3 linked regions of the Stegostoma tigrinum genome follow. The protein of the gene in region 2 interacts with the protein of the main gene of each other region in a biochemical or structural test. Links are inferred from orthologs where the notes say so. Each region holds a gene or a part of one and is shown on either strand. Other genes may lie near its edges.

Region 1 (7,767 bases), on a different chromosome or scaffold from region 2:
GGAGTTCTGATGTTGACCTTTCAAAGTTGACCTTACCCATCATGCCATGGAAAAAGGAGATCACATCGAACAGCTTCTGTGGGCAGCTCTGCTCAACTGGCCGGATGTCTTGTTGACGTCAGCGAAGGCCACATATTCAGTTTTCCATTGTTCATGATATTTCTCTAGCAGCTGCTGGATTAAGACATTTGTAAATTTCTTGTCTTAAATCACACAGATTCAAGGTAGATGCGTTCTGTCAAGAACTTAAGTCTGGCAAAGGCAACATGGGCAAACCATTTTTTTAATGACCAGTAGGGAGAATACCCGATAATTGTTACAGCTGGAGTATTTGGTTAAATTCCTGATTGTCAAATGACAGGAAGAATATGAAGGCTTCAGAGAAGGTGCAGAAAAGATTTAAGGAATGATTGTAGGGATAAAGGACTTCAATTAAGTGGATGGATTAGAGAAGCTGGCATTGTTCACCAGAGATGGGCAGTTTGAAAGAAGATTTGATAAATGTGTTAAAATCATGACAGGCCTTGACACAGCAGATAAGGAGAAACTCTTCCCATAGGGAGAAACATGGGGAGATAATAGCCTAGTCATATTATTGCAAGAGTATTAATCCAGAAGCTTATGTTCTGGGGACCCAGGTTCAAATCCCATCACAGCAAATGGTGGAAGTTGAGTTCAATAAAATATAATCTGGAATTAAGAATCTAATGACAACCATGAACCTATTGCTGATCGACCAGAAAAACACATCTGGGTCACTCATATCCTTCAGGCAAGGAAATCTACCATCCTCACCTGGTCTTACCTATATGTGACTCCTGACCCACTGCAATGTGGTTGATTTTCAACTGCCTTCTGAAATGGTCTAGCAAGCTACTCAGTTAAATCAATTGCTACAAAGCCTCAACCTTTAGCATATAGACTGCAGTGTTTCAAGAAGGCAACTCATCACCATTTTCTCAAGGACAGTTCAGGACAGGCAATAAATGCTGGTGAGCCAACAATGCCCATGGCCCACGAATGAAAAAAAAAGTATCAATTGAGAATCAGAAAACACTTTTAAGGTGAATGGCAAACAATAACAGGAGGTCAAATCTTTTAAATCAGCCAATGGTTAGGATCTGAAACACTGTCTTGAAAGTTTGGTGAAGGCATATTCAATTACTGCTGGAAAGAAGAGTTTGATAGACATTTTAAGACAAAAAAAAATCTGTCTGTACTACAGGAGACGGCAAGGGAGTGGCACTAACAGCATTGCCTGTGCTGAGAATAGCACAGACATGATGAGCTGAATGGCCTGATTCTGTTTTATAAAAGTTCTATTATTTCATGATTTCCAACCTCTGGTCTCATTACCCTAAAAATCTAGTTTGTAATTTTATATAACTCCCTGTCTTAAAGTAAAACCAGAATCAAATTCTCAATATTCAAACTATTTGTTTCAAAAACCATCAGTTCTGTTCATAACAGTAACTAATTTTCATGAATCTACTTTCCACAATTGCACTGTATTTCACAGGCTGATGGAAAATGTCAAATCTATTGAATGTGTCAGTAGATTAACAAGTACAAGCAGACACAATTCTGACGTCTGATCATGAGAAACATAATGAACTCACAGACCACTGCCGATATCCCCCATCAACCATGTAGGCTATATATCTTGTATATGAAAAATACAAAAGTTGGGAGTAAACCAGAAAATGTAATTGCCAAAAAAGCTTTCTGAAATCTACAGTTTCACTTTCTGAAATTCCTACAAATATGAAACCATGGCTTTAAACTAAGAAGACTAAGGTTTTGGAACAGCCTTGCTGTAAATCATGCTTTTCATCCATGGTGGATGTGCAGGAATACAAACATATAAATTAGCTGCAGAATTGGGCCACAAGGCCCCTCAAGCCTTTTCTGCTGTTTAGTAAGATCATGGCTAATGCGATTATGATTTCAACTCCACATTCCAATAACCAGTGGCTCTCTTTGAATATTTATGGGCAACAGATATTAAATTATAGAAATTGTTATTCTTGTGCCATTCCTGAATTGACTGTGTATGACAAATATTTTTGGAAGAAGTCACTGAAGCTTGTCTGCTGCCAACTGCGCAAGTTTCCTACTCAATGAAAATGGAGAAACACTAATCCCCTAAACAATTAGGTCAACCTAATTAACCGGAATTAGGAGACAGCTGAACATTTGAAATATGAAGTGGGCATCAAAGTGTTTACTCAGTAAAATGATGCTGGAGAATTCAAGGAGTGAAATGCTTTAAGGCAGGGAACATAAGCCCCATGCTATGAATCAAGGAGAGAACTAACAGCACTGTTGGTTAGTTGGCATCCATGAAAGTACTGGACATATCAAGCAAGGGAAGAGGTAAAAACAAGAGTTAGTATTTCAAGTCCAGCATAATTTTCCTTTGGAACTCCAGTTCTCAATGATGAGATCAAGTTCAGGTAAAAGGTCAGAAGGACTGATCGAGGTGGAGAAGCCATTCTGAAGACTGACAAAAGGATCTGTGGGGCTGGATTAGAAGAAGTGGCATGAAGGCAGATTACAGAAGAATTCAGTTACATGTCATGCCTGAATTTTTTTCAGGTGGCAGTGTAAAATTATGACCTTTGCTGAGCACAGATTATTCAGCATCAACCAGGGGTAGGTCAAGGAGTGTAGCAATTAAATGACAAGACAGGGGATTGCAAGAAGGGATGGAGTTGGAGAGGAAGGGAGGTAATTAGAACTCCAGAGGGGCATCAGTACCTGGGAATTTCTGGAACTTGCATTCTTTAACTCCTGAAAAGAAGAGAATTTTTCTTTGTTTAAGCATTGAATGAGACAAAGAACAAAATGGATTTGGACACCGGGACAGCTTTGAGATATTGGGAGGTGGTGCTGATGAAGAGAGAAGCTGAGAGTGTGCATGTGGTGGTGCATAGCATTGAATGTGGATCTGAAGATGTGGCAGAAACAGTTGTTTTAGGAATGTTGCATGTATCAGAGATTGCTGTAATCTTGGGTGGGTTTGAAACATAAAGGATGGAACTTCAACTGGAAACTGTGTGGGGTATGGTGAAGCCAGAGAGTTACTGAAGAAGGGGATGTAGCTGTGAAAGTAACTTTTGACACTTTATCAAACATTAGAAGGAAAGTAGAAAGTAATGAAGGTGAACAAGCTGAAAGATTATAACAGAAATCCTACCAGAGTCAATGGCAGAGCTTTTTAAAAATGAGCACACAAGGTGAAATGGCAGTGAGTTAAACACTCAAGTAAAAGCAAAATGCTGTGAATGCTGGAGTTCTGAAATAAAAATGGCAAGTGCCGGAGGAACGCAGCAGATCTGACAGCCATGCTGGAGTCAAACAAACCTGTTTTTCTCTGAACAGGTGTGTTGAGTTTCTCCAGCACTTTCTTTTCTTGTTATTGTCCAGGGTCTTTGGGGATTCACTCTAACATTCCCCTCAAATAAAATTGCCACAGATGATTGGTAAAATAAGACGAGTGCATCATGTAAATTACTGGGTAGCATTGACCAACATAAATTTGTTTGGATAATGAAAGACCAGTTGGACATTGAGTAATACTTCTTCCTATCCATTTACACCATTATGTTGACAGTATAGACTCTGCTGGCTATGTACATACAGTTGTTTGCTCCTTGTATTCATGTAAAGCCAGCTGTACAATAGAATTCTAAAATATTGTAACAATTCCACACTGTATTTCTCTATGACTCTAATATTGCTAATGTTCTGAAGGAATTTGCTCTGGCAGATCAGTCACTGGCTTGCTTCACTGAGTAACACTGGGTGAGAGGGTATATTTTATCTAACTGTAGCCTGGAAGCTGGAAAGCGTAAACATTGATTATCGTTACGATATTGACAGCTACTACCTGGGTTAGCTGGGTGGTGGATATTATCTGGAAGATTTATGTAGAAGATAGCACAGCTGGGTCATTTTTACCTCCTATAAATTTTGGCATCCAAGGGCTTAGCTCAGTCGAACCCTAGGAACTTTACCTGGCGTGCTAATAGGTAACATTGCTGTAGATGATATAGTTTGGAATCACCATATATTTCTGTCAGTGCATTCCTATTTCACTGGGGAGAGAAAATGCTCATTAGCAGAATGACCGAATTGTTAAAGGTTAGAAGGAGGTTAGTAACAAATCCATTCAGTGCCAACATGTGACACTGAACTTCCAACAGCGTGTCACTTTAATTCCTCATCTTGCTCCCACTCTAACCTCTCTGTCCTCAGTCTCTTGCAAAATTCCAGTGAAGCTCAACAAAACCTGGAGGACCAGCAGCTCGTCTTTCATTTACATAAATTACAGCCTTCTGCACTCAAAGTTCAATGATTCCAACCCATTTTGTTTCCCTTCTTCAATTTAAATTCCACCATCTGCCGTGGCGGGATACGAATCCAGATCTTGAGGAAGGATCACCGGACCCGAAACGTTAACCCTGTTTCCTCCTCCACAGGTGCTGCCAGACCTGCTGAGCTTTTCCAGCAACTTTGTTTTTGTTGCAGCGAAAATACCACTAGGCAATTGCCTCCCCACGTCCGGAAGTAGCGCCATTAAGCTTTCATTTTATTTCTGATCTTCCTCAGATGTATATGGAAGGGAGGGGTAAACAAGTTCCGCCAGAAAGTTGTCTGACTTGCTCCAAACTCATGATTGTATGAGTGCATTATATGTGACAAGTGGCGGAAGTATGGGCCTTTTGTCTCTGTGTGTGCGTGTCTCTCTCTCTCTCTCTCTCTGTCGCTTTCTGAAGAATTTCTCTTCTGTTTATCGCTCGAACGAACGGACAGCGTTTGTTCTGAATAGTTGAGACGATCATTGGGGCCGGGAGCAGATCCCATTGAGAGGTATGGGAAATGAACGGTCCGGCCACTAAGACCCAGCGGAACCAGCTGCGAGCACACGGCTTGACGCAGCAGTGTGAATAAGAGCGGAGCGTGGCGAGAGCATCATCGGCAGCCAGATCTCATCGTGTCGGGAGCAACAATTTAAAACCTCAAGGTAAGGACCTGCAGCCTATAAATCCATAACTCGAGAATACATTGTGGTCATCTGTGTTACCTTTTCTAAGACAAATGCCACAAAGGGGGGTATATTGTGGAGGGTGCCTCATCAATATCTTAAATTATACTCAGTATTCGAAATTCACGTTTAAATCCGTCTTTCATGTGAGCAGGTCTGTACATCTCCGGTGAGATGCGCTACATAGATATGTATATGTATTGATGATATGTATTCTGGATCCTCGCTCTTTTATTAAAACCTTAAATTTGGAGGTTACTGACAGCAGCATTGTCTAACAGATGAAATACCATGGCCCACATCCTCGATTTTTTTTCCCTTCACCCCACCACCAAAAAAAAAATCGCATTTAGCAGGGCGTTGAGGTGAGATGTGGGCTCCGGCGACCAAATTGTGACTATATTTTGATGATAATATGCAAGGTGGATGTTTTTTTTTAAATTGGTAAGTGGGTTCGTCTCACGGGAAGGTGACCACGAGCATCTTACACAACGTGCAAATGGCGAGGTGTTGGTTCCGGGAGCCAGAGGCCGGTAGAAATACTCGCTGCTCCTTACAAATCGTCCGTCTTTGTTAATGTGGGCACCCCTCCCCTCCCCTCCCCTCCCTATGGGCTGGTGGTCACAGTGCTGAACGACCCGAGGAGGAAATGGCCGGAGAAGCGTTTGTTTCATTGAATTTGACCCAGCTCAGCACAGCATGGTCTCGATGCTCGCCTGTGCTAAACTGCAGAATGTCTCTCCGCAAACTTTAAAAAAGTATCTACCTTACACTGTCTTTCTGCGAAGACTTAATCCGATGGAGTACACGGAAAAAAGCTGCGACAACTAGAACCCTCAAGTAAAACTACTTCCACTACAGAACGCTTTTTAGTAAAATAACGATTTGATTTGTAAAGTGCTTGACCTGTTTAAGTATTCGCATCATTTGATTACATTACTGCCTTGTGGTTCCTCCGAGGCGCCCATTGTCCTGACTGGCCCGGGAAAAAAAATCAATGGCATTGTTTTAGCGTGGAGATAGAAGGGGTTCATTTCTGTCTGTTTTTCTCTCGATAGATTGAAAACACTTTACAGGTGTAATGGACTGAAAAAGCTCTCCGATCAACTGCTATCCCAATTTATAAACCCTTTTGCCTAGCAGACTGGCCAGTGGGAGACGAGCCGTGAGCGTGTTTCCCAGGGCCACCCATTGATTTTGCTGTGTTTGATGTGAAAGCTCTCAGCTTCGACTTCCCCCCCGCCCCTGTCACACAAACACTGCAGCTCGGTGCTGCTAGGGAGATTGAAACTGCGTCCTTGTGTAAGGAGACAAAAAGCCCGACCAAGTCATCCCCCGGCTCGGTTTATCTCCGTGTATTTCCGCTTTCCTGCTGTAATTCACCCCGCCCCCGCCGCCGGATTACTCATGATTCTCGGGGAGACAGAGCACCCTTCACCGCCTCATTCTTTCAGGTCACGTCTCTCACGTCCTCTTGCAGGCGATGATGCTTTTGTTCCTCCTTTTTACCTCTTACTCGCCCTCCCTCTCTGCCACCTGAACACCGGCTAGCCTGGGGCTGACCAGCATTTCTTTCTCATTCCGTTAACAAGTATCTGCAGGGATGGCGAATTAAAACGAGGAGGAAAAAAAGACTCTATTTGTATTAACACGGAGCAATCTGAAGATGAGCGCGTGGTTACAGACACCTTCGCTGTTCTCAGACATACCTGAACAGTCGTGCAGAAAACAGTTTTCAGGCTTTTAACGTGTGGGAAAGAAAATGCATTTTATAAAACCCGTTCTGAAGATGGGTCACTGGACCCGAAACGTTAACCGTGCTTTCTCTCCACAGATGCCGCCCAGATTTTGCTGAGCTTCTCCAGCAATTTTTTTTTGTTTTTTTTGTAAAGCGCCTTGATTTTTAAAACGGTCAAACCGTCTTCCCAACGGCGTTTCAAAGCCACGTCGCACCACGACACCGTGTTAATTTGATGTGACTAGGTAGTCAGGCTGAAAAACAAACCCGAAACGGCTGCGGATGCTGTAAATCGGGAACAAAAACAGGAGTTGCTGGTAAAGTTCAGAGGGCCTGGGCAGCACCTGTGAAGAAAACATCTGAGGAAGGGTCACCGGATCCGAAACGTTAACTCTGATCTTTTCTTCGTAGATGCTGCCAGATTTCCAGTTCTTTCTGTTTTTGCTAGTCATGCTGTGAACACTAGAGCTTACTTGTTTAAAGTCAAACCGGTACAATATGATCAACCATGAATGAACTGAAAATTTATAAAATTTGGACCATATTAACATCATGACATCAGTTTGGCTGTAGGCTATGGTATAACTGAGTCAATCCTTGTTGACATACTGGATAAACAGTTTCTTCATTTCAGGGTAATAAATTCATGGGCCTCCTGCAGTGCCACAATGATACCACCCGAAAGTTGCAGGAACAGCAACTCATATTCCGCTTGGGAACCCTGCAGCCTAATGGTATCAATGTGGACTTCACCAGCTTCAAAATCTCCCCTTCCCCCACCGCATGCCAAAACCAGCCCAGTTCGTCCCCTCCCCCCACTGCACCACACAACCAGCCCAGCTCTTCCCCTCCACCCACTGCATCCCAAAACCAGTCCAGCCTGTCTCTGCCTCCCTAACCTGTTCTTCCTCTCACCCATCCCTTCCTCCCACCCCAAGCCGCACCTCCATCTCCTACCTACTAACCTCATCCCACCTCC
Region 2 (8,232 bases):
ATCTCCCATTTGTTACGTTTTGCCACTTAACCTGTTTATATTCCCCAACTGATTGATTGTATCATCCTCACTACTAGCTTATTTGTTGTGTAACTTACAAACTTGGTCCTAACAGATTCACTTATGTCAGCCAAGTTATTTATATATAGTGTTAAAAAATCAAGACTCCAGCAGTGATCCGTGTGGCATTCCATTAATTATGCCGTCCTGAAAATCATGATTCATTCGTAAGCATATAGGGGCAGTGACTCAGGCAGAAGCAGGGATGGATGCTGATTGAGCTGGAAGGAAGAATGAATAGTGATTGATTTGGAGGCAGTGAACAATAATGATTGATGTGGAGCCAAAATCTGAGGATGGTACTGTACCAGATTAGGAGGAAGGGAAAGAAATTGAGTGGGAACCAGTGAATAAGAAAGGGACAGTGATTGAGTTTTGAGGCAGGCTGTGTGAGGGAGGGTGTTGGAAAGGGCCAGTGAGTGAGTTTTCAGACAGGGTGAGAGGGTGGGACAGTGAGTGAGTTTTGGGGCAGGGTGTTGGGGAGGGACAACGAGTGAGTTTTGAGGCAGGGTGTTGGAGAGGATGGCGAGTGGGTTTTGGGGCAGGGTGCCGGGGAGTGACGGCGAGCGGGTTTTCGGGCAGTGCGCCGGGGAGGGACGGCGAGCGGGATTTGGGGCAGTGCGCCGGGGAGGGACGGCGAGCGGGATTTGGGGCAGGGCGCGGGGAAGGGACGGTGAGCGGGTTTACGGGCAGTGCGCCGGGGAGGGACGGCGAGCGGGATTTGGGGCAGGGCGCCGGGAAGGGACGGTGAGCGGGTTTTGGGGCAGGGTGCCGGGGAGGGACAACGAGTGAGTTTTGAGGCAGGGCGCCGGGGAGGGACGGCGAGTGGGTTTTGGGGCAGGGCGCTGGGGAGCGACAGCGAGTCGGTTTTGAGGCAGGGCGCCGGGGAGGGACGGCGAGTGGGTTTTGGGGCAGGGCGCTGGGGAGGGACGGCGAGTGGGTTTTGGGGCAGGGCGCCGGGGAGGGACGGCGAGTGGGTTTTGGGGCAGGGCGCCGGGGAGGGACGGCGAGTGGGTTTTGGGGCAGGGCGCTGGGGAGGGACGGCGAGTGGATTTTGGGGCAGGGCGCCGGGGAGGGACGGTGAGTCGGTTTTGGGGCAGGGCGCCGGGGAGGGACGGCGAGTGGGTTTTGGGGCAGGGCGCCGGGGAAGGACGGCGAGTGGGTTTTGGGGCAGGGCGCTGGGGAGGGACGGCGAGTGGATTTTGGGGCAGGGCGCCGGGGAGGGACGGCGAGTGGGTTTTGGGGCAGGGCGCTGGGGAGGGACGGCGAGTGGGTTTTGGGGCAGGGCGCTGGGGCAAGACGGTGAGCGGGTTTTGGGGCAGGGTGCCGGGGAGGGATGGCGAGCGGGTTTTGGGGCAGGGCGCCAGGGAAGGACGGTGAGTGGGTTTTGCGGCAGGGCGCCGGGGAGGGACGGCGAGTCGGTTTTGGGGCAGGGTGCCGGGGAGGGATGGCGAGCGGGTTTTGGGGCAGGGTGCCGGGGAGGGATGGCGAGCGGGTTTTGGGGCAGGGCGCCAGGGAAGGACGGCGAGTGGGTTTTGCGGCAGGGCGCCGGGGAGGGACGGCGAGTCGGTTTTGGGGCAGGGTGCCAGGGAAGGACGGCGAGTGGGTTTTGGGGCAGGGCGCCGGGGAAGGACGGCAAGTGGGTTTTGGGGCAGGGCGTCGGGGAGGGACGGCGAGCGGGTTTTGGGGCAGGGCGCCGGGGAGGGACGGTGAGCGGGTTTTGGGGCAGGGTGCCGGGGAGGGACGGCGAGTCGGTTTTGGGGCAGGGTGTTGGGGAGGGACAACGAGTGAGTTTTGAGGCAGGGTGTTGGAGAGGACGGCGAGTGGGTTTTGGGGCAGGGTGCCGGGGAGGGACGGCGAGCTGGTTTTGTGTCAGGGTGCCAGGGAGTGATGGCGAGCGGGTTTGGGGCAGGGCGCCGGGGAGGGACAGTGAGTGAGTTATGGGGCAGGGTGTTGGGAAGAGACGGTGAGTGAGTTACAGGGCAGGGTGTTGGGGAGGGACGGTGAGTGAGTTACAGGGCAGGGTGTTGGGGAGGGACGGTGAGTGAGTTACGGGGCAGGGTGTTGGGGAAGGATGGTGAGTGAGTTCTGGGGCAGTGTGTTGGGGAGGGACGGTGAGTGAGTTTTGGGGCAGGGTTTTGGGGAGGGACGCTGAGTGAGTTATGGGTCAGGGTGTTGGGGAGGGACGGTGAGTGAGTTTTGGGGCAGGGTTTTGGGGAGGGACAACGAGTGAATTTTGAGGCAGGGTGTTGGAGAGGACGGCGAGTGGGTTTTGGGGCAGGGCGCCGGGGAGGGACAGTGAGTGAGTTATGGGGCAGGGCGCCGGGGAGGGACGGTGACTGAGTTATGGGGCAGGGTGTTGGAAAGAGACGGTGAGTGAGTTACGGGGCATGATGTTGGGGAGGGACGGCGAGTGAGTTACAGGGCAGGGTGTTGGGGAGGGATGGTGAGTGAGTTCTGTGGCAGGGTGTTGGGGAGGGACGGTGAGTGAGTTATGGGGCAGGGTTTTGGGGAGGGACGGTGAGTGAGTTCTGGGGCAGGGTGTTGGGGAGGGACGGTGAGTGAGTTCTGGGGCAGGGTGTTGGGGAGGGACGGTGAGTGAGTTCTGGGGCAGGATATTGGGGAGGGACGGTGAGTGAGTTATGGGACAGGGTGTTGGGGAGGGACGGTGAGTGAGTTACGGGGCAGGGTGTTGGGGAGGGACGGTGAGTGAGTTACGGGGCAGGGTGTTGGGGAGGGACAGTGAGTGAGTTACGGGGCAGGATATTGGCGAGGGACGGTGAGTGAGTTACGGGACAGGGTGTTGGGGAGGGACGGTGAGTGAGTTACGGGGCAGGGTGTTGGGAAGAGACGGTGAGTGAGTTACGGGACAGGGTGTTGGGGAGGGACGGTGAGTGAGTTACGGGGCAGGGTGTTGGGGAGGGACGGTGAGTGAGTTACGGGGCAGGGTGTTGGGGAGGGACGGTGAGTGAGTTACGGGGCAGGGTGTTGGGGAGGGACGGTGAGTGAGTTACGGGGCAGGGTGTTGGGGAGGGACGGTGAGTGAGTTACGGGGCAGGGTGTTGGGGAGGGACGGTGAGTGAGTTACGGGACAGGGTGTTGGGGAGGGACGGTGAGTGAGTTACGGGGCAGGGTGTTGGGGAGGGACGGTGAGTGAGTTACGGGGCAGGGTGTTGGGGAGGGACGGTGAGTGAGTTCTGGGGCAGGGTGTTGGGGAGGGACGCTGAGTGAGTTACGGGACAGGGTGTTGGGGAGGGACGGTGAGTGAGTTACGGTGCAGGGTGTTGGGGAGGGGCGGTGAGTGAGTTACGGGGCAGGGTGTTGGGGAGGGGCGGTGAGTGAGTTACGGGGCAGGGTGTTGGGGAGGGACGGTGAGTGAGTTACGGGGCAGGGTGTTGGGGTGGGACGGTGAGTGAGTTACGGGGCAGGGTGTTGGGGAGGGACGGTGGGTGAGTTACGGGGCAGGGTGTTGGGGAGGGACGGTGAGTGAGTTACGGGGCAGGGTGTTGGGGAGGGATGGTGAGTGAGTTACGGGGCAGGGTGTTGGGGAAGGATGGTGAGTGAGTTCTGGGGCAGTGTGTTGGGGAGGGACGGTGAGTGAGTTTTGGGGCAGGGTTTTGGGGAGGGACGCTGAGTGAGTTATGGGTCAGGGTGTTGGGGAGGGACGGTGAGTGAGTTTTGGGGCAGGGTTTTGGGGAGGGACAACGAGTGAATTTTGAGGCAGGGTGTTGGAGAGGACGGCGAGTGGGTTTTGGGGCAGGGCGCCGGGGAGGGACAGTGAGTGAGTTATGGGGCAGGGCGCCGGGGAGGGACGGTGACTGAGTTATGGGGCAGGGTGTTGGAAAGAGACGGTGAGTGAGTTACGGGGCATGATGTTGGGGAGGGACGGCGAGTGAGTTACAGGGCAGGGTGTTGGGGAGGGATGGTGAGTGAGTTCTGTGGCAGGGTGTTGGGGAGGGACGGTGAGTGAGTTATGGGGCAGGGTTTTGGGGAGGGACGGTGAGTGAGTTCTGGGGCAGGGTGTTGGGGAGGGACGGTGAGTGAGTTCTGGGGCAGGGTGTTGGGGAGGGACGGTGAGTGAGTTACGGGGCAGGGTGTTGGGGAGGGACGGTGAGTGAGTTACGGGGCAGGGTGTTGGGGAGGGACGGTGAGTGAGTTATGGGGCAGGGTTTTGGGGAGGGACGGTGAGTGAGTTCTGGGGCAGGGTGTTGGGGAGGGACGGTGAGTGAGTTATGGGACAGGGTGTTGGGGAGGGACGGTGAGTGAGTTACGGGGCAGGGTGTTGGGGAGGGACAGTGAGTGAGTTACGGGGCAGGATGTTGGCGAGGGACGGTGAGTGAGTTACGGGACAGGGTGTTGGGGAGGGACGGTGAGTGAGTTACGGGGCAGGGTGTTGGGGAGGGACGGTGAGTGAGTTACGGGGCAGGGTGTTGGGGAGGGACGGTGAGTGAGTTACGGGGCAGGGTGTTGGGGAGGGACGGTGAGTGAGTTCTGGGGCAGGGTGTTGGGGAGGGACGGTGAGTGAGTTCTGGGGCAGGGTGTTGGGGAGGGACGGTGAGTGAGTTACGGGGCAGGGTGTTGGGGAGGGACGGTGAGTGAGTTACGGGGCAGGGTGTTGGGGAGGGACGGTGAGTGAGTTCTGGGGCAGGGTGTTGGGGAGGAACAGCACTGGAGTTTCAAATCTTGGGTGAGCTGCTCTGCAGCATCACCGCAGCCTTCCTTAAACCTGGGCCCCGCCCCCCGGTCGGCCTGCTCCCTCCTGATTGGCGGGCGGCCGGTCAGGTGGTGGAGATTCGCCGTCCCGGTCGCCATTTTGGGGGAAAGTTTGGGATTTTTCTGGCAGTGACTGGGAAGAGGAGTAGTAGCAGTTGTTCGCCGGGTGGGAGGGAAGCGGCGGCAGCGAAAGTTTGTTTTTGGTGGAATCCGGAAGAAGAGGAGTGGGAGAGTGTGTGCCGGTGCCGGTCCGGGGGCCCCACCTCTCGGGGCGGGGAAAGGAGGAGGAGGCGGTGGGTCACTGGCGGCGGTGAAGGACTACAACTCCACGGGGAGGCAAGAGAGCGCAAGCCCCGGAGCCTGTAACTCGCCTGACGGGGAGGCAGCCAGAGAGTCGGCCCCTCTTTCGGGCTGGCGGGGTGTGGGGCAAGGCCGCCGCTTGCTGCATCCCATACCGAGGAGAGAGGACACAACCCCCCGCCCCTCCAACTCTCTTTTCCAAGAATCAAAACAACCGACACCCAGCAAAGGGATCCACTGGACGACCCTGAGTGTTAGGGGCAGAGACCAGGACAGTCACTCTCAAGCTCAGCGGAGAGGATCCACTCTCCCCAGTTGGTCTCCTGCAGTCACCTTGAACAAGTAGGACAAGCGAGCAGTGACCGGGCAAGATAACCAGCAGAAACGTTCTGATCAGCGAATCGGTATTCCAGACTGGGCAAGAGGAGAGAGTCAGGATGTGGTCCTCCTGAGGCCAACACTTTACAAACCGGTCAGTCTACTTCAGGAAGGAAGGATTGACTGATATCGGAAAGAAACCAAAAGTGTCTCTCAAACAAGCCTAAGCCTGTTTTGAAAGGAAAAAAAAATTGATTGTCAGTGAAACTGATTGCACTAAATATTTACACATTTCCTTGAGTCGGAGCGAAAAGTTGGGATCCGGTGTTTCTGGCAGTTTATCGGGACCGTTTGAAAGCGCAGAAGAAAAGATCCTGTCTCCGGAGACTCTTAGACTCCGGAGGACAACTTGGAATTGAGGGAATTACCAACTGGGAGCTTTAACCTGTGAAGGAAATCTGAAACAGGAGGATGCCGGTTCGAAAGCAGGGTGAGTTTCAGCATATTAAATTTTGCAGAAACATTTTAATAAAAGTTTTTAAAGTCCGCTAACACTTTGTATTTAGCACCATTGCCACGAACTTTAAGACGAACCGATTTTAACGAAGGATATCTTTGTCATTTTCTATCAAGTGCTAAAAGCTGGGCAAAGATGTAGTAGCTCCAGGAGTTGTTACGGGATCGGTCCAGTAATGATCGTTAAATGTGTGATTATTTTTGCCCCTTGTCTCTGCTCAGATGCTCAGCGAGCTCTGAAGCTCCTGGAGAATTACCGTGCCAAGCTCGGCAAGACTGAAGACCGTCAGCTCCGTGCCTCCATCGAGCGAGTTATCAATATATTCCGCAGTAATCTCTTTCAAGCATTAATAGGTACGTACATAGACCGCTCGATATCTAGTCGTCTTCTTACTTTTTGAGGTTAACAGCAGCGTCGGCCGATGAGAGCTGTTAAAATACCAATGGGTTGTTCTGAACATAAGGACTTAAATATTCTGGACAGAGAAACAGGTTTGACGTTTTAACAACGCGGGAATGCCTTGGCTTTTCTATATCCGATTACGAAATCATTCTTTCTCCTTAAGCTGACAACCTGTTGCCTTGCGATTCTGTGAATCACGGAGAGGCGAGAAAGCGGGAATAGTCGAACAATGTAATTGCGAATATTTGACAGACGTTGTCGCGTCATTTTAAACCCCGCAACACTGAAATGAATGCCAGCGCCAGTGCAGCATTTCTAATGAACTCTGCTTATAGTGTTGAACGATCAGATTACAACTTGATGTCAGTGTACATGATGCGATTCGGGAGCAGTTGGGCGGTGAACAGGAAGCCTTATGGAGGAAGGGGCGTGATTTATGAATGTAAACAGTTTCGGCTGTGTGCGGCATCTGAGTTGGACACGTGTGGAGGTGGTACTGAGGAAAGTAGATACCGAATCGGTACGATATGACATTTTAAGGAAAACCGTATTGATAACTACGGATTTTTAAGTGGAAATAAGGATAGTGGGAGTTGCGTTAAAATTCTGGGTGTCAATTTAGATTTTGCAGAGTGGGAAATCCTTTTCTGATTTCAAAACTTATTGACATTTTAATCAGAAGTCCACACTCTTGTTAGAGAATAGTGCAGTTGATTAAAATCGTTTTGATGGGGAGGAAGTAAAGATAATATTGTAAAGAAAATGATCCCTCGACATCAGCTGTAACCTAATTTGCGTTGAACTTTAAAATACATAATTAAAATAATTGATATTTTATTCATGTGGGATGTGAGCATGCTGGCAAACATATTTATTGGTCAAGCCAACACTACTTAATGGTTATTAGTACTGATTTCAGTGATATGAGGCACCTTTTCACTGTTATAATTCTATTAACAAAATAAATGTAAAAGGTCCAGTGACCGTCAAAGGTTAATCTTTCAAGTGTTCAGTAGCATACCACTAATGCAAATAGCTCTGACAAACTAAGGTTGTGTTGTAGTATTGAATTGTCATTGTCAACAAGATGATACTGGTATGTAGTAGGTCTTATTGGTTATCAGAGGTTTCAAATGTACTGTGTATATGCGATCCCCATCCAAGTACAAATTTAACTACAAAGAGAGGCAAATGATTGAAGTATAATGATAGTTTAAGTTGTTCACACATAAACTGCCTGTCTGGATAGTAGGATCCTCTAGCGTACGGATTAGATCCATCGGGAAACCTACTGATCTGCTTGCCAGCAGCAAAGCAGTAGTGAATTTTTGAGAAGTTGTGCAGCTAGCGTTTTTTTCAATGATTTTTGTTTTGTCTAAATGGCAAACACATTGGGCTTTTCGTAAAATAAGAAATATTCCATATAACTGATGTCTAAAACATCTGTACTTTCTGTTGTTCCCCTTAATACCTCCCCATTAAATACCTTAAACCACTATCGTCAGCTGCTCAAGTTGGAACTAATGTCCGCACACGTTGTGCATCACTTTTTTTCTTAATCTTTTTGTACGTTTGTTTGCTTTCTCCCTTTCCAAAATTCCTGTCTACTCTCTTGCTGAGATACTGATTATATTAGGGCTGGAAACACTCCAAACACCTCAGTGACATTGGATGCATCTTTCATAGTGTAGTTAAGCCTCATTAATATTTGTATGTACACGTTTACTAGGAATGAACTTTTGATAGTGCCTGAGCATGGAGATATTACTTTTTCTACCTTATTTAGGTTGTTGAGGAAAATTTTGGGATTTTACCCCTAGCCCAGCTAAAACTGACTGACTAGCGTAGAATTTCTCCAGAAAGTGCATGTAAATAGACTCCAGATGATAGTGACATGAGTTTGTTGTAAATGTGTACATTGA
Region 3 (8,345 bases), on a different chromosome or scaffold from region 2:
TCAGAGTTAACATTTTGGGTCTGGTGACCCTTCCTCAGTTCTGGGCAATCAACCTGCCTTCCCTAAACTTCCTGGTAATACATTCCACACTCTAACAATTTGCTGTATGAACAAGTTTTGTTTTCTCATATTACTCTTGATTCCTTTGCACAGCAATTTAAATCTATGTCCTACTGTTATTGTTCCTTTGATGAGTGCTGGGGTGAAAATCTGCCATCATCTGCCTGATCTGGTCTACATCTGACTCCAGCTTGACAGCAACATGGTTGACTCTTGATAAACATTTTTCATGAATTCTTTATTTGCATATCGTTGTGTAAGATCAAGAGGGTATAAAGCCAGTTTTGTATCCAATTGGTTAGCTCCCCCTGTATTCCATGCGATCTAATCTTGCTAACCAGTCTACCATGTGGAACCTTGTCAAAGGCCTTACTAAAGTCCATATAGAGAATGCCACCATTCTGACTTGATCAGTTTTCTTTGATGCTTCTTCAAAAAACTTAATCACGTTAGTGACACATGATTTCCCACACACAAAGCCATGTTGACTTTTCCTAATCAGTCCTTGCCTTTCCATGTGTGTGTAACTGTCCCTCAGAATCCCCTCTAACATCTTGCCCACCACTGACATTAAGCTCACTGGTCTATAGTTCCTTGGCTTTTCCTTACAGCTTTTCTTAAAGAATGGCACCACATTAGCCAACCTTCAGATGTCCAATACCTCACGTGTGGTTGTTGACAATACAAATATCTCATCAAGGGGCCCAGCAATCACTTCCCTAGCTTCCCACAACATTCTGTGATACACCTGATCAAGTCCCGGGGATTTATCTAACTTCATTTTAAGATGTTCAGCACCTCCCCTTCTGTAATATGGACACCTTTCAAGATATCACTACTTATTCCTGGAACCATTCTGGTGAATCACCTTTGCACTCTGCCCTACGCATGCACATTTTTCTTATAACCTGGTGCCTGCAACTGTACATAATATTCCATCTGAGGTCAAACAAGTATCCTGTATAAGTTCAACATGCCCTTCCTGTTCTTATATGCCCTTAATAATAAAGCATGAATACTGTATGCTACAATTACTGCTGTCTTCACCCGTGCTTTGAGTTATAAAGAAAGGCTAGATGGGCTGCAACCTTACTGGAATGTAGGAGGTTGAGAGGTGACCTGATAATAGTTTATAAAATAATGAGGGGTAAAGATAGGGTTAATGGTAATTGTCTTTCCACCAGGGTGTGGGATTTGAAGACTGGGGAGCACATTTTGTAACGTGAGAGGGGAGCTGAAACCTCCCATACCTAGCAACATCCTGGTAAATCTCTTCTGAACCTTCACCAGTTTAATAATATCCTGCCTGTAACTGGTCAACCAGAACTAGATACAGTACTCCAGGAGCGTCCTGTACAACCTTAACATGACTTCTCACTTCTATTCTCAAAGGGCTGAACAATGAAGGCAAGCGTGTCAAACGCCTTTTTAACCACCCTGTCTATAGGTGATGCAAACTTTGAAGAATTATGCACCTGACTGCCAGGTCCCTCTTCTACAACACTACCCAAAACCCTACCATTAACTGTGTAAGCCCTACCATGGTTTGTTGTATCAAAATGCAATACCTCACATTTACCAGATTGAGCTCCATCTGCTGTTTTTCAGCCAATTGACCCATTTTGCCTGAGGGTGGAATTGAACACAAATCTCTGGCTTTGTGGGGTAACAATACTAATGACTGAACCACTTTGCAATCCCTAAAGTATTGTGTTCAATAGTCAAATTGTGCTGTTTAATATATAATGCTTGTATTGCTAATTGTGCATCACCCACAACAAATATACACAAATCACCATGATGTTGACAATGAAATGTAAATATTCATTTAATTTTAATTTTGCATTTAGAAGTCTCCTTAAATCCAAGATAACTTGCTGCTTCCAAAGCCAGTACACTACATAAGACATGAGTCAGGAGTGTGATGGAACAATTTCCATTTGACTGAATGGGGCAGCTCCAACAGCACTGAAGAAATTCCAAGCCATCTCGTCCACTTGATTAGCACCATATTCACCACATTCTACATCCACCCTCTCCATCACCGACATAGTGGCAGCATCGTGTATCAATTGTAAGATGCACTGCAGCACCACCCCAAGACTGCTTTGATATCAGTTTCCAAATCTGTGAGCTCTACCGCATTGGACAAAGACAGCAGATATATAGAAGCACCAGCATGTGCAATTCCCCTGCAAGCCACACTCCAGCCTGACTTGGGAATTATATGATCACCTCTTCATTGTCACTGGTTCAAAATCTTGAAACTTGACTTCCTAACAGGGTAGGTGTACCTGAACAACATGCATTACAGCTGAGCAAGAAAATGCCGACCAACCTCTCAAGGGCAATTAGGGATGGGTAACAATGCAAGTAATGTTACATTCCATGGGAGAATTTGAAACATCTCAGTTTGTATAAACATGCTTTTTACTTGCTGCCATACTATTTCTAATTCCAACTCTTCTCGGTGGTTCAGAGTTTAATGGTAACAGACCGACTATTTACAATGGCTTACCATGTACTCTTATCATAGTAGCATATTTATGCATAATGAAATTGAAGTCTTTTTAAAACACAACACAGTAAGTCATGAAATTGAAACAATTAGTGCTCTGTAGTAAGTTATCAGCATTTGTCAGACATTTCAATGTGATGAGAAAATGCAGTTGTACAATTGGAACGTTTGCTAGAGCATGCTGCAAAACAATGTCCTGGGGTGCAACTGTAATGACTGTTAACTGAGCTGACAAAAACAACAGTCACTGGACTTATATTAAATATAAAATTACAGGAAATGTCTGCTTGGGAAAAGAGGAAAATTACCGGATGCATTTGTCTAGACAGCTGAATGTTAGTGTGCTTCATGTTTTTGTGTTAGAATATTATCTGGACATTAATTTTGTCAACGTGCAGGTCTTTATTACCCTTTGATGTTTATGACATGATCTAGTAGTATCTGATTTCAGTAAGTGAAATTTTGTGGTCCTTGTGTGGCTAATTGTTTCATTCAATTTCAGTTTTTTGGGCTATTTTCTTTATAATTTTTAAACTGGAGAAAAATGTAAAATATGCAATATTTTACGAATGTAATTTTAAGAAATTAGTTCAGGTATGTGAGTACAAAAAAATCTCCAGGATCTCTTTGTATCCAGCAATAGAAAAATCAGGACTGGGACGAAGCTGCTTTGTTTGTCCATCCCCTCCTCAGATTTGTTTGTGTTCTTTGCTTTCCTATTGAACAGCAAACTTGATTTGAAACCTTCACTGATTAATGGATAAGCCATCAAGAAAATGAGTTGGAAATGTTGGATAAGTTTAAATCAGAGTTAACATTTCGGGTCTGGCGATCCTTCCGCAGTTCACCGGACCCAAAACGTTAGCTCTTTTTTTTCACAGATGTGCTGCCAGACTCGCTGAGCTTTTCCGGCAACTTCTGTTTTTATTCCTGATTTACATCATCCACAGTTCTTTACGTTTTTAAAAGGCACTGTCAGGCACTGGTAGCTTATTTATTTGTGCTCTTCATCACTGCACACAATAGCAAAGAGTGCACCAGCTACAAAAATGTACTGCATTAACTTATTAAGGCTTCTAAGCATCATCTGAATCAGGACATGCACCACCTGCACAAGGGCTGCAGGTATGTAGGAGCAGCATCGCCTGAAAATCGCTCTTTAAGTCACACACCGTTTGGACATGACCATTTATTGTAGTCCTTTTACTGTTACTCAGTTACTGCCCAGTAACACCCTTCCTAACACTACTGTGGTTGTCCCTAAATCACTAGTACTGCAATAATTCATGAAATTAGCTTCTAATGGCCTCCTCACACACAGTTAGGGATGAGTATTAAATGCTGGGCCCAGACAGTGAAATTGAACTTTGAGAATGCTTTCTTGCACCTTGTGCATCAATCTAATGCATCTCCAGCCTTCCCAATGATTGACAGATGGCCATCCAGCTGCAGGGTTATCACTTAGTGATGGACGGCTGGCAACCTGCTGATTTTCAACGATCAGAAAGATTTAAAAACACTGATGGTGCCGGGAACATTGTCTTCTATTGATTGACTGTTGTCATTCTCAGGGAGTGACAGCTGTCAGCCTGTTGATTGGCAGCTATTGGTCCCAGGTGAATGACAGGTGTTGGTCCCAATGATTGACAGGTGTCAGTCCCAATGATTGACAGGTGTGGGTCCCGATGATTGACAGGTGTGGGTCCCGGTGATTGACAGGTGTCAGTCCTGGTGATTGACAGATGCATGTCCCAGTGATTGACAGGTGTCAGTTTCGGTGATTGACAGATGCATGTCCCGGGATTGATAGGTGTCAGTTTCGGTGATTGACAGATGCATGTCCCAGTGATTGAGAGGTGTCAGTTTCGGTGATTGACAGGTGCAAGTCCCGGTGATTGACAGGTGCATGTCCCAGTGATTAAGAGGTGTGAGTCCTGGTGATTGACAGGTGCATGTCCCAGTGATTGACAGGTGTCAGTTTTGGTGATTGACAGGTGCATGTCCCAGTGATTGACAGGTGTCAGTTTTGGTGATTGACAGATGCAAGTCCCGGTGATTGACAGGTGTCAGTTTCGGTGATTGACAGGTGCAAGTCCCAGTGATTGACAGGTGCAAGTCCCGGTGGTTGACAGGTGTATGTCCCGGTGGTTGACAGGTGCAAGTCCCGGTGGTTGACAGGTGTATGTCCCGGTGGTTGACAGGTGCATGTCCCGGTGATTGACAGGTGTCGGTCTCCTTGCGGCGCTGGCTGCAGCTGAACTCTGACTCTGCGCAGCTACAGGAAGAGGAAGCGCCGGAGTGAAGCTGTTACTGAGAGGATTTCCGAGGCCGAGCCTCTAACAAAAGGCGGCCGCCATGGACAGGCTGGGCACTTCCGAGAGCCTGGCCACAAAGAGGCCACCGCGCTTGGCCACTGGCTCCGGGCAAGCGAGCTTGGATTCACCGGAAAGGTAGCGGGTCCAGGCCTGGGACTGGGGCCAGCGGGTAGAGGGAGCCGCCCAGGCGCCTGTGGAGCACGACTTTCCCCGGCTCTGTTTGCATCGGGATCCCCGGGCACGGTGCATGGAGCCTGCGTTGGATCTGCAATGGGATCCCGGGTACAGTGAATGGACCCCGGGCTCAGTTTGTATTGGGATCCCAGCCACGGTGCGTGGAGGCCCGGTGGCTCTGCAATGGGATCCCGGGCGCGGAGTATAGAGCCCGGGCTCTGTTCGTATTGGGATCCCAACCACGGTGCATGGATCCCGGGCTCTGTTTGTGTTGGGATCCCAACCACGGTGCACGGATCCCGGGCTCTGTTTGTTTTGGGATCCCAACCACGGTGCACGGATCCCGGGCTCTGTTTGTTTTGGGATCCCAACCACGGTGCACGGATCCCGGGCTCTGTTCGTATTGGGATCCCATCCACGGTGCATGGATCCCGGGCTCTGTTTGTGTTGGGATCCCAACCACGGTGCACGGATCCCGGGCTCTGTTTGTGTTGGGAGCCCCGGCACGGTGCATGGAGTCCCGGCTGGGTTTGCATTGGGATCCCGGGCACGGTGCATGGAGTCCCGGTTGGGTTTGCACTGGGATGGGCTGCGCTGTTGGGAACAGGGACACAAGAGGCCGTGAATTCCAGGGAAAAGTGTAGAGAGCTCAGGCTGCAGGCTCGTCGGAAGGTGCATTTTGGGCCAGTGTCTTTTGAACTAATTGCCGTGTCGTCAATTCCTGGTTTTGGAATGTGAACACTTGTATATGAATGTTTTCACGTTAACCAGAAAACTGCATTAATTGCATTTTGAATGTTGCGCTAATCCAACTTATTACAAATGTTTTTCCTTCCTGGGTCTAATTATTTTCTGAACAGGCCGGTGATGTGGTAGAAATCATCCCATTCATGAAGCTGCTGAAAGAAATTGGTGAAGTTATGTGAAGTCGTGGTCCCGCAATGAGGGACAGTTTTACTTAAATGTAAACTATTTTTCCTATCAAGGTACCCACCAAAAAAAACGGCCTGCAGCTTTGAGCCGGTCTTCACGTAAATTAGGAACTGGAGCAGGGCATTCAGCCCCTCGGACCTTTTCCACCATTCAGTGAGACCACTGCTGATCTGTAACCTGACTCCACGTACCTGCCTTTGTCCCATATTCCTCAATACCCATTGCTTAAGAAAAACATTATCTATCTCAGATTTTAAATCTGACAACTGATCCATTGTCCTTTGCGTAAGAGAGAGTTATGCCTTTTGTGTGTCAAAGTGCTTCTAAACATTCTCACTTGAATAATCCAGCCTTAATTCTCAAACTATACTGTGTAGTCTTAGAATGCCCAACCAGTGCAAATAGTTTATGGTTATTTATGCTGGTTATTTATTCCTTATCTCATTGGCAGACTTGTAAATACAACTAATTATGGGCTGAAGATGACTGATTTCAGCAGTGATCATACAAGGAGACACAGCAGTTACGAACTTCATCCAGATCCAATGTAAAAATAGGAAAAAACAAAGCTGTTACATGCAGCCTGGCTGGTCGTCTTGAAGTCAAACAGAAACTGTCTTGTGTAGCTGAAGTCATGATCATGTATTGCAGACACCCTACATCATGCTGTGTGGCACTGCTGTCATGCAGAAGGGGATAGATTGCAAACAGATCTAGGAATTCAAGACTGGGCATCGGGTGTGCTATAGGCCATCAGCAGCGGCAGAATTTTACTTAAGCACAATCAACGACCCCTTGGTCCACCAGACTTCCCATTCCCAACATTATCATCAAGCCAGGCCACCACTCGCTCCACCGTCAATGCTCAGTAGTAGTAGTCTGCTGTATCTACAGAAATTCAGCAGCGATCCTCAGAAGGTTCTCTGGATCAGTTCCAGAGATGAAAGGCATGTTTTATGAAGAGAGATTGAACAGTTTAGGCCTATACTGTCTGCAGTTTAGACGAATGTGTGGAGATCATATTGAGGTATATAAGATGTTAAAAAGGATTGAGAAAGTAGATTTGGAAAGGATGCGTTATATGGGCCCATCTAGAATGAGGGGTCACAGTTTTAGGCTGAGGGGTAGCAGAAACATGTAGAAAGAAACTGCTTCTGTCAAAGTGAAGGTCTAGGCCCAAAACGTCAGCTTTTGTGCTCCTGAGATGCTGCTTGGCCTGCTGTGTTCATCCAGCTTCACACTTTGTTATCTCGGATTCTCCAGCATCTGCAGTTCCCATTATCTCTTCTGTCAAAGTGCCATGACTTTGGAATTTACTACCTCCAAGTGCATTAGATATCAGGACACCTCAACATATCTCCGCACATTCTTCTAAACTCCAGAGAATATAGACCTAAACTGTTCAATCTGGCTTCATAAAACTATTATTCACAGGACACTGAATAAATTTAAGGAAGAGATGGACAGATTTTTAATTAGTACGGGGTTGCAGGGTTATGGAGAGGGAGCAGAAAAGTGGAACTGAGGCCAAGATGAGATCGGCCACTATCGTATCAAACAGTGAAGCAGGCTTGAGGGGCTGAATGGCCTACCACTGCTCCTAGTTCCTATTGTCAAGTCTTTACTCAATGAAGAGTGCAGGAGGACAGGCATATCTAAAAATGAGATGTCACCTGGGGAAGCTACAGCACAGAACAAATTGCATGCCAAAAAATATAAGCAGCAAGTGAGATAAAGGGCTAAGCTGAATCCCTTACTATCAGCACCCTGGGGATTGAACATCCATTGAACAGAAACTGAACTGGACTCAGCACAGAAACACAGTGGCTGTAAGAGCAGGTCATAGACTAGGAATCCTGAAGCGAGTAACTTGCTTCCTAACTCCCCAAAGCATATCCTGCGATAGGCACAAGTCAGGAGTGTGATGGAATACTCCCCACTTGCCTGGATGGGTGCAGCTCCAACTACACTCAAGAAGCTTGACACCATGCAGGACAAAGCAGCCTGCTTGATTGGCACTGTACCCACAAGCACCCACCACTGGAGATCAGTAGCTATATCACCATTTCAGTCGGTCAAAATCTTGCAGCTCCCTCCCGAATGGCATTGTGGCCGTCCCTGTGCCACGTGAGCTGTAGCAGTGTGTACTATCTACAAGATGCACTGCAGAAATTCACTAAGCCTTCTTAGACAGCACTTTTCAAACCCAAGACCACTTCTATCTAGAAGGAAGAAGGCAGCAGATACATGGGAATAGAACCACCTGCAAGTTCCCCTCCAAACCACTCAACAACTGGCTTGGAGCTATATCACCATTTCAGTGGGTCAAAATCTTGCAGCTCCCT

Evidence for each region.
Region 1: the proteins of disks large homolog 1-like (region 2) and monocarboxylate transporter 4-like interact in a test that uses a peptide from one of them, tested with the Homo sapiens proteins (2 studies listed by IntAct, with this or other methods). The link is inferred for Stegostoma tigrinum from reciprocal best matches to the Homo sapiens genes DLG1 and SLC16A3.
Region 3: the proteins of disks large homolog 1-like (region 2) and mtmr1b interact in a test that uses a peptide from one of them, tested with the Homo sapiens proteins (2 studies listed by IntAct, with this or other methods). The link is inferred for Stegostoma tigrinum from reciprocal best matches to the Homo sapiens genes DLG1 and MTMR1.

What each region holds. Positions count from the first base shown.
Region 1 is NC_081375.1:27,675,080-27,682,846, forward strand, and holds the start of monocarboxylate transporter 4-like, read left to right. Parts: upstream 1-4,273; 5' UTR 4,274-5,029; intron 5,030-7,767. UniProt on the Homo sapiens protein: Proton-dependent transporter of monocarboxylates such as L-lactate and pyruvate. Plays a predominant role in L-lactate efflux from highly glycolytic cells.
Region 2 is NC_081367.1:52,820,113-52,828,344, reverse strand, and holds the start of disks large homolog 1-like, read left to right. Parts: upstream 1-4,855; 5' UTR 4,856-5,862; coding exon 5,863-5,881; intron 5,882-6,129; coding exon 6,130-6,261; intron 6,262-8,232. UniProt on the Homo sapiens protein: Essential multidomain scaffolding protein required for normal development. Recruits channels, receptors and signaling molecules to discrete plasma membrane domains in polarized cells.
Region 3 is NC_081368.1:14,661,634-14,669,978, reverse strand, and holds the start of mtmr1b (myotubularin-related protein 1b), read left to right. Parts: upstream 1-4,851; 5' UTR 4,852-4,933; coding exon 4,934-5,028; intron 5,029-5,044; exon of another isoform or gene 5,045-5,140; coding exon of another isoform or gene 5,141-5,175; exon of another isoform or gene 5,176-5,224; intron 5,225-8,345. UniProt on the Homo sapiens protein: Lipid phosphatase that specifically dephosphorylates the D-3 position of phosphatidylinositol 3-phosphate, generating phosphatidylinositol. Could also dephosphorylate phosphatidylinositol 3,5-bisphosphate to produce phosphatidylinositol 5-phosphate.